Linked DNA regions of Sus scrofa. The protein of the gene in region 1 binds, or shares a complex with, the protein of each later gene. Links are inferred from orthologs where the notes say so. Each region holds a gene or a part of one and is shown on either strand. Other genes may lie near its edges. The genes, in order: ATP2A1 and SLN.

Region 1 (3,810 bases):
CCTCCTGAGGAGTCTGGGAAGGAGAAGCAGAAAGTCCACCATCCCGGCTACCTTCTGGACACCACGATCAAGGGCCAACCAGCCCCCACTCTCCACATACACATCTTCTTGGCCTCGGACCCATCCTGGACCACTCGTCCCCATCACTTACCCGCCACCTCCACGATGTCTCCGGGGACAATGTCTCGGGCCTTGATCCTTTGTACTGCCTTGCGGTCAGCCCGGTAGACCTTCCCCATCTCGGGCTCATATTCCTTCAGAGCCTCAATGGCATTCTCTGCATTCCGCTCCTGGGGGGACAGGGTTGAGGAGAGGAGGGTTGGCAGAGGAAGGGAGGTGGTGGGATGAGAGGGCACTGGTCCTGGAGGATGCAAGTGGTGTAGGTTCAGAAGAGTAGGGACCGGAGTCCCCGGGGGAAGTGGGGGCATCACAGGGAAGGAGGCAGGTTATGCAGTCCTGGCTCCTGGCCCAGGGAAGAAGACAATCCCCCCCCCACCCCCGACCCAACATGAAGGGGTGTGTGTGTGCATGTGTGTGTTCAGGAAACTGACTCACAGCCTAGAACAGGCAGAGGAGTTTGGAAGGAGAATTTAAAAAAAATCAGAAAGCAGGGGATAGGAAAAGCAGAGGATGGTATAAGGTAAGAGAAAAAAGGACATCAAACTAGCATTTGCAGAAATCCTCCCATAGGCCACACACAGGGCTGGGCACGTTCACACTCATTGTCTTGTTACGTGTCACCACAATTCTGAGGGCCGGGATGATGAGCCTCATTTTATAGACAAGGAAACTGAGATTCAGAGAGATGAAGGAACTTGCCCAGGGTTGTACAGCCAGCAAGTGACAGTAGGGACCAGTCCCCCCCCCCCCCCCGTCCTTCCAATGTTCTGTTCCTTTTCCAAACTGAGCAAAAGGACCAGAGAACAAGGCAAGCCCAGGGGAGGTGATGGAGGAGGAGGAGGAGGAGGAGACGGGGACGGAGGCTGGCCTCACGTTCAGTGTTCAGTGTCAGGATGTGAAGGAATGAGGCAGCGTCAAAGCTAACCTGCCAAACTCCCACAATGGCGTTGGCAATGAGGATCAAGAGGATGACAAAGGGCTCGACAAAGGCAGTGACTGTCTCTTCGCCTTCCTCAAACCAGGCCAGCACCTGGGAACAAGGGAAGGGAGGAGAATGGGTAATTAAGCCCCCCCACACTCTTCCCCCCCCCCACAGGGGTGAGGAGAAGAAATGGAGGTGAGAACCTGCACAGGAGCAAATGGGACGGGGCATCACAGGAGCACCGCCGCCCCACGTCGCTTTGAGGGCCGACACGCTCCATGGCCCAGACTCACACGAGCCCGGCGGTTGCTGATATTCAGCGGGCACAGGCGGGCACAGACATGCACAGCTCAGGGATTAGCTGGGAATGCTTTCAGGTTTCCCTGACCAAGTAGTTGGCTTGTAAACGAAGCTCCGGGGACACCCAGGCCAACTGCCCCCTGAGCCACATCCATCCCACAGGAGCCAAAACGCGCTAGGCAAGACCCTGTGGTCCCTGCAGGCGCTGGGCCCACCCATGGCCCTCCCCCACAGCAAGACGAGGCAGGGAAGCTCCAATTTCAAGAGGGAGCAGGAGGGGGGGATAGTGTTACGGGGCCTCCTGTACACACCCCACCCCAGCTGTTGCCACTGCCAGGCAACAGCCCCAGGCAAATGTCAAGGAGCAAATCTGAGAAGGAGAAGGGAGGCCCTGCCAGCTAGTACTCAGGGGCCCACGGGGCCTCCACTATAGAGACCAGGGGACACGGGGACTTTGGGGCCTCCAGAGTCTTGTCTTTGAGAACTAAGATGTTAAGGAAGAAACTCTCAAATGCAGGCTGGATGCTGGGATGGTGGGTGCTGAGGGGAGCTCCAGGGCAGGAGAGGTGCCAGGGCCTTAAGAGGGCGGTGGGGGCGGCCCTGAGGCTGTGAGGGGGAAGGGTCAGGTCAGGTCAGGTGGGTGAGGAGGGGGATCCCGGAGTTCCAGCCCCGATGGGGGGAGTTGGGAGGCGAAGCTCAGAGACAGATGAGGGGTCTGGGCCATTAGGTGCTTTTGGAGTCACCCTGGCACCAGCCGCTTTTTCCCGCCTCTGGGAGGGAGTCTTTGCTTCAACCAATCAGCGCCAGGAGGGCGGGGCCGGGGTGTCAGGATGCTCAGGGATTGGTGGAGCGGTTTGTGCGTCCCGCGGCATGCCGGGAGCAGTGGTGGCCTGGGAACCTCAGCGGCGGCGTGTGAGCCGTGGAGCCCAGCCGCGGAGCGCTTAGGGGGGTAACCCGAGACCTCGGAGCCCTTGAAGCTCCGGGGGCGGCTTAGCTTCAATGTTTTGGCTGAGAACACCCTAAAGCTTAAAATAAAACCTGCCTGTGGGGTGTGGGGGAGGACAGAGGAATATGCAAATCAGCGTCACCCCACCTCTCTCGGTTCTGGTCTGGAGAATAGGATGCTGAAGGCTCGGACTAGAGGAACCCATGATTTGGAGCCGGTCGCCAGCAGACTCTCCAGATCCCCCCAACCCACAGCCCCAGCCAGCCCCCAGAGGCCCTCCCACACTTACAAAGGAAATGCAGGCGGCCAGGAGAAGGATCCGCACTAGGAGGTCTTCAAACTGCTCTATCACCAGCTCCCACAGGGACTTCCCTGGGGGAAGAAGCAAGGGGAGGGAGCCCTCGGGGTTAAGGTCTAACAGATGACCGGCTGGGACTCTGGGTGCAGGCTGGGATCCAGCCTGGAGCAGAAAGGGTCTGTGGTGATGGGCAGGCCATTTGATGCTGAGAAAAGGGCTGAGGGAACAGGCCAGGAGTCCAAAAACAGGCTCCTCCAAGGAGTGGGCAGTTGTTCAAGGGCTGGATGCCTCAAGGAGAAAGTGCCCGGAAACTTCTGCCCCGGGCCAGGCTCTAACCTTTGGGGAGGAACATTTGTCCCAGGAGTCAGAAGGAGAGGGCAGGAAGAAGGGAGTGGGGCACAGAGGGGAAGAGGTGGAACTTACCTTCCTCAGCAGGGAGCTCTGCCCAGAGAGAAAGAAGAAAAGGACACATTCATTTGGCATTCAGTGCAATGCCGCCCGCACCCAGGACTTTGTGGCTAAGGTAAGAGAATCAGGCCACCAAAAGGGCAGCTGAGGTTCACCAAGGTTATCCATAGAACTTCTCCAATCTCTGGGTCTCAGGGACCCTGTTTTCTCAGTATCCTCCCCTCCCCTGCAGTCATTGGTCCATGACCTGTCTCCTCCCTAGGATCCCCTGGAGCGCAAGGCCCTGGTGTGTGAGTGTGAGTCCATGTGTGTGTTGTGCAGATGCGGGAGGGCACGACCGGCCTCTCCTGCAAGGGACACTTACCATTGTGGCCGTATTTCTCCAGATGCCGCTTAACTTGGTCCGGGGTGAGGCCTGTGGTCTCGCTCACCCCAAAATAGGCCAAACATTCTTCTGTGGTCTTGGAGTGTGCAGCCTCCATGGTGCTCCCTTCCTGGGGGCCAGGGGGCGGTCTGTTCCTTCTGGGGGGGTTTCCTCACGCGTGGGGGGCCTTCCTCAGTGTGTCCACCTGCCTGTCCGTCTGGGTTTCTTCCTCTCTCTCTCCTACCCCCCCCAGCTTATTCTTCCCTCCACGAAGCTCTGACCCCAGTCCCACTTGCAGCAGCCGGCCACCCCCCCCAGCCCCCAGCTGGTCCTTATGAGGGAGTGGGGGGGGCAGGCTCCCCCCTCCCCCAGATCAGGGATTGGCTGGCTGAGACTCCAGCAGGAGGGGTCAGAAGAGAGAGATATTTCTGCTGACAGAGGGGGAACAGTGG
Region 2 (4,304 bases), on another chromosome or scaffold:
AAGTTATATATTTATTCTAAAAATTTGAAAATATAAAAGTATAAAGATATTTTAAATTACCATTAATATCACCACCCAAAAGCAAAAAAACCCCAAAAAACAAAAAAACTTTATATCACTTTTTATTCATGTTTGAGGTTCCATAGGTACAATCTCAAATTCACAAGTTCATTTTGGTAAAAGAATCTGATACTTGAAAAACCTTTATCTTTTTTGATTCTTATAGAATGAAATTATTCATACTGTACCATGTATTGGTATTGGATTTATGGGAAAGCATTTATTTTGTATATATTGGAATAGGAATTAGCTCCACAATATTTTAAATGTTAAATAAGAGTTCCCTGGGAGTTCCCACTGGGGCACAATAGGATCAGCAGCATCTTGGGAGCCCTGGGATGCAGGTTCGATCCTCAGCCCAGCACACCAGGTTAAGGATCCACCAGCATTGCCATAGCTGTGGCTTATGTCACAGCTGTGGCTTGGATCTGATCCCTGGCCCAGGAACTCCATATACCATGCAGCAGCCAAAAAAGAAAAAAAAAAAAAAAATAGGAGTTCTCTGGTGACTCAGTGGGTTAAGGATCCAGTGTTGTTACTCTTGTGGCTCTGGTTACTGCTGTGGTGCAAGTTCCATCCCTGGCTCAGGAACTTCTGCATGCTGCAGGCTGCCCCCATCAAAAAATTAAATATTAAATACAATGGGGAAATGTTAACATATCACAAAACAGCTTACTAACTGTCAATTTAGTTGAACTGGTCAATTTCAATGTAACTTGAAGATAATCCTACTGCTTATTCTTGAGTTAGCTTAGTTTTTCTGTTTGGCTGTCCCATTTAAGTTTATCCAACATTATACCAGGGACTATTGTGCCCAGCACATTCATAAATTCCCAGATAGAGACTTCAGAAGCAGCTTAATATTAGTGGTTTATCCTGTGATGCCATGAGAGAGTGTGATAACACTAAGAATTCAGCTCATCATTAGTTTGACCTAACCCTTCCCTGAAAAATATGCAAGCCACCCAAAGTCACATGACAACTATTCAAAGGCTTAAAGCAGAGTTTAACACTGAGGATCTGTGAGTCCATTAAAAAAAAAAAAAATCAACACTATTGTTCTCATTTAAAAAGCTGGAATAATGAGATTTCAAACCTTGCTGCCAAAGAAAATTTCTCTCTTTAAATTAACCTTACTTAATTCTGCTGATATTTTCTGTAATTCGCATGACTTAACATTACATATCAACTTTCTTTCAAGGTGCTGACCTTCCCATCAATAGGAGGACATACTAAACAATCCTTGATCTTATTTCTATGCTTATTAATCTACAATTTAGCCAAAGGTCAAAAATGTTAAGAAAACAACATTCACATTGATATTGGTATTGACACCCAATCCATACCATCATATACATTCCTAAGTGTAAAATATTATATCCTTTGAAAATTAATGCTGTGTTCTTATGCTTAATTAAGAGCTAAATTAACTTGTTTAATTTACTCCCAATTTCCATCAATCTTTTTACTTTGGAAGCAAAAAGTGAAGACCTTATGTCAGACCATGAATTTTACTAGTCTCTGACCCAATGGGAGAATTCAGCAAGGCCTCAATGAAAGGCGATAAGCTCTTAACACATCACAGCAATGAGTCTGATAATTACGGTGCCTCTCTCACCTTCACATCTTCACATTCAACGGGACATGGAGCTGCTCAGAAAGAAAGAAACAGCTTTCTGCTATGCTCTTCCATTATCCCAAGCACAGGAGTACAAGCCCAGGGAAAGAGGAAACCATATTCCTTAAAGTGCTATCCACGTCCTTGAAAAATTAATGATTATTATCTATATTTTTAAGTCCTTGTGGCACATGTGTGATTTTTGGCTTACTAACTAACCTTAATTTCAAAGGCAGTGTGTTGATGTATTTTAAAGCTAGTAAACTTGCCTAACTTTTTGATTGCCCTTTGGATGCTTCCCTTCCTGTAGGTTTTCTTTTATTAATGGTGAATTCTTCTGTTTAATTAGTACAATATATTTCATCCAAAAAAATTTCAAAGGCAAGGATAAATTCTTATATTCCTTTTGTTTCTCTAACTGCATCGAACTAGTAAAGAATCATAATAGATGCTTGAGCATACATAGCAAGGAGCTCACATCACTTCTTATCCTGAGATCCCCAAACGGCTGAGCATGACAGGCAAACGAGAGTGGGGGAAATTGAGGTCAACATCCAATCTACTCATAAAAAGGACCTAGAAATCACCTGGGAGAGAAAACTCTGAAGGGAGTTTTGATCAAGAAGACACATGTGGTCAACAACAGGGAGAATAGAGAGTTATTCCATTGCAGTCATCAAATGGCAAGAGAAAGAGACAAGGGAAAAAGGAAGGGAGGTTGGGTAGAAGCATCTTAGACTGCAATTCCGTTACTGGCTGACAGCTGCCAGGGAAGCAAGGCCCCCCATGCAAACGTGATTATGATTTCAGAGAAGAGCAGCTGGGGTCCACCTCAAGTACGGTGCAGTCACATCTGAGAGGCACATTCCATGGCACCACTCCCACACACTACCCATCCTACTTCACTAAGCTTGAGGTCTGGATCCTAGAGGAAGAGAGCGCTATGGGTAAAAACTCCCCAACTCTTTGACAATTTACCTCAACGGTATGGAGCACTAAAAGGGGCAGAGATTCTCCGTCTACCTGTGCCATCTTGTGGACCTCAGTGCATCCATGGAACCAGCAATGTAATGTCCTTCCATTGAAGTGTCACGGAGCCTGGCAGAAGCAGAAATACTGATCGAGACTTCCTTGTAGTTTATATTAAGCTGTGCAGGCCTTAGTGGCAGATGGCAGCAGAGAGGAGCTTGAGCTAAAGGGCAAGAAAATGGCAGGCACTATGTGGTAGCCGACAGTACGTGTGCGTGAGCACATGTCAACCACCCCCTAAAGTTGCTAGAAATAATTCAGAGGAACATTACAGGGGCATGCAGTCTTGCATAATAGGTGGGTGTCAGAGCCAGAAAAATACGTATTAGTCCTGTTTATAATAACCCATTTTAAGTCCTGGATTGGTGGGGTGACACCTGTTAACATCATTTGACTTGGAACCAATTAAATTCCTCTTCTCTGGAACAAGTATATTTCTGCTCTATAATAAGATTCTGCAAGCAAACAGCTTTCTCTCAGCCCATTAAACATAGCTGCCAAAGGGGGGGAAAAAGCAGCAGCCAAAAATGTGTTTACTACTAAGCTAATACCATCTGCCCTCAAAACACTCCCAGATTTCAGATTCGCTTTGTTATTTTTCTGATGGGAAATAAAAATTCAGCAATCTTTTGATGTGCTGTTACTGAACAGCTCAGAGAGATTCTAGCCAGACACGCCCACCTGAAACATTCTGTTCCTTGGTGAATTTGATCAAGGGTATTTTCACTGAATCTCTCTTGAGAATCTGTCGGATAACACAATTACCATTTCAGTAAGAATAATATAGACAAGACAAAATTGCTTGTTCTCTGTAAACGAGTTCGTTTGGCTTAAGCCTTTAGCTATTTAAAGCAGAGAGAATAGAATCATGAAGAATCATGAAAATCTCTCTCTGCTGCCTGTGAAGGTAATGAGAAAACAAAAGTGCCTAGTTGCAGTAATGTGGAAGAAGATTAACTGGATGCAAGATACAGGCTAAGTTTCCTTTTGGATGAGGGATGTGCTATCTCGGAGGGCAATCGAGCACTTGTTCTACAGTAACCTAACCTTTTACACTTTTACAGTAAGTGAATGTGGAGTTGCCAGGGGCTAGTATTCCGGGAATTTGGGCAGCTTATCTGGGAGAGGTGGTTTAGGCCTCCTCTCTTTAGCGTGTATTTTGTTTGTTCTTGCCCCCATTGGCCAGTATGGGCCAGAAGAGGAGGCCTGAATTATATCTTTGGCCTGAAGATATTTGAAGACATGGGGGCACACATTTTGTGCTAACAAGCTAACTTTTTCTTCTTCTGTCCTAGCCCTCTTGCTAGATGTTACAGTACTCACCAGGCACTTAGATATCAACCACTCCCACTGAGGAACAGCACAAAAACAGGACATCACTGTTACTTTCTCTGTGAACAACTGCCATCTGCCAAGAACCACCACTACTTGCCTTGGGTGTCAACCATGCCTGCCAGATACTACTTCCTCTGCAGCCCCCTCTGCACAGATACTAAAGGTACCAAAGTTATACTTACTTCCAGAGCAAAATGAGGAGATGGGGTGAGATAGTGTGCCTCTTTCTGTATGTTACATCCTACTGAGGAGTACCAAAGGA

What was found.
Region 2: the proteins of ATP2A1 (region 1) and SLN are in contact, whole or in part, in a crystal structure (PDB 3W5A), measured with the Oryctolagus cuniculus proteins. The link is inferred for Sus scrofa from reciprocal best matches to the Homo sapiens genes ATP2A1 and SLN. Residues at the interface, in XP_069919846.1 of Oryctolagus cuniculus: Phe88, Val89, Leu96, Ala100, Ile103, Val104, Trp107, Arg110, Asn111, Asn114, Arg324, Lys328, Trp794, Leu797, Gly801, Leu802, Thr805, Ala806, Phe809, Trp932, Ser936, Leu939, Leu943, Leu946, Ile947, Val950, Pro952, Leu953, Ile956; in NP_001075856.1 of Oryctolagus cuniculus: Met1, Glu2, Arg3, Ser4, Thr5, Arg6, Glu7, Leu8, Leu10, Asn11, Phe12, Val14, Val15, Thr18, Val19, Leu21, Ile22, Trp23, Leu25, Val26, Tyr29.

What each region holds. Positions count from the first base shown.
Region 1 is NC_010445.4:18,547,837-18,551,646, reverse strand, and holds part of ATP2A1 (sarcoplasmic/endoplasmic reticulum calcium ATPase 1), read right to left. Parts: 5' UTR 3,477-3,810; coding exon 3,359-3,476; intron 3,028-3,358; coding exon 3,010-3,027; intron 2,661-3,009; coding exon 2,578-2,660; intron 1,151-2,577; coding exon 1,046-1,150; intron 291-1,045; coding exon 152-290; intron 1-151. UniProt on the Homo sapiens protein: Key regulator of striated muscle performance by acting as the major Ca(2+) ATPase responsible for the reuptake of cytosolic Ca(2+) into the sarcoplasmic reticulum.
Region 2 is NC_010451.4:36,239,548-36,243,851, forward strand, and holds the start of SLN (sarcolipin), read right to left. Parts: upstream 2,859-4,304; 5' UTR 2,702-2,858; intron 1-2,701. UniProt on the Homo sapiens protein: Reversibly inhibits the activity of ATP2A1/SERCA1 and ATP2A2/SERCA2 in sarcoplasmic reticulum by decreasing the apparent affinity of the ATPase for Ca(2+). Also inhibits the activity of ATP2A3/SERCA3.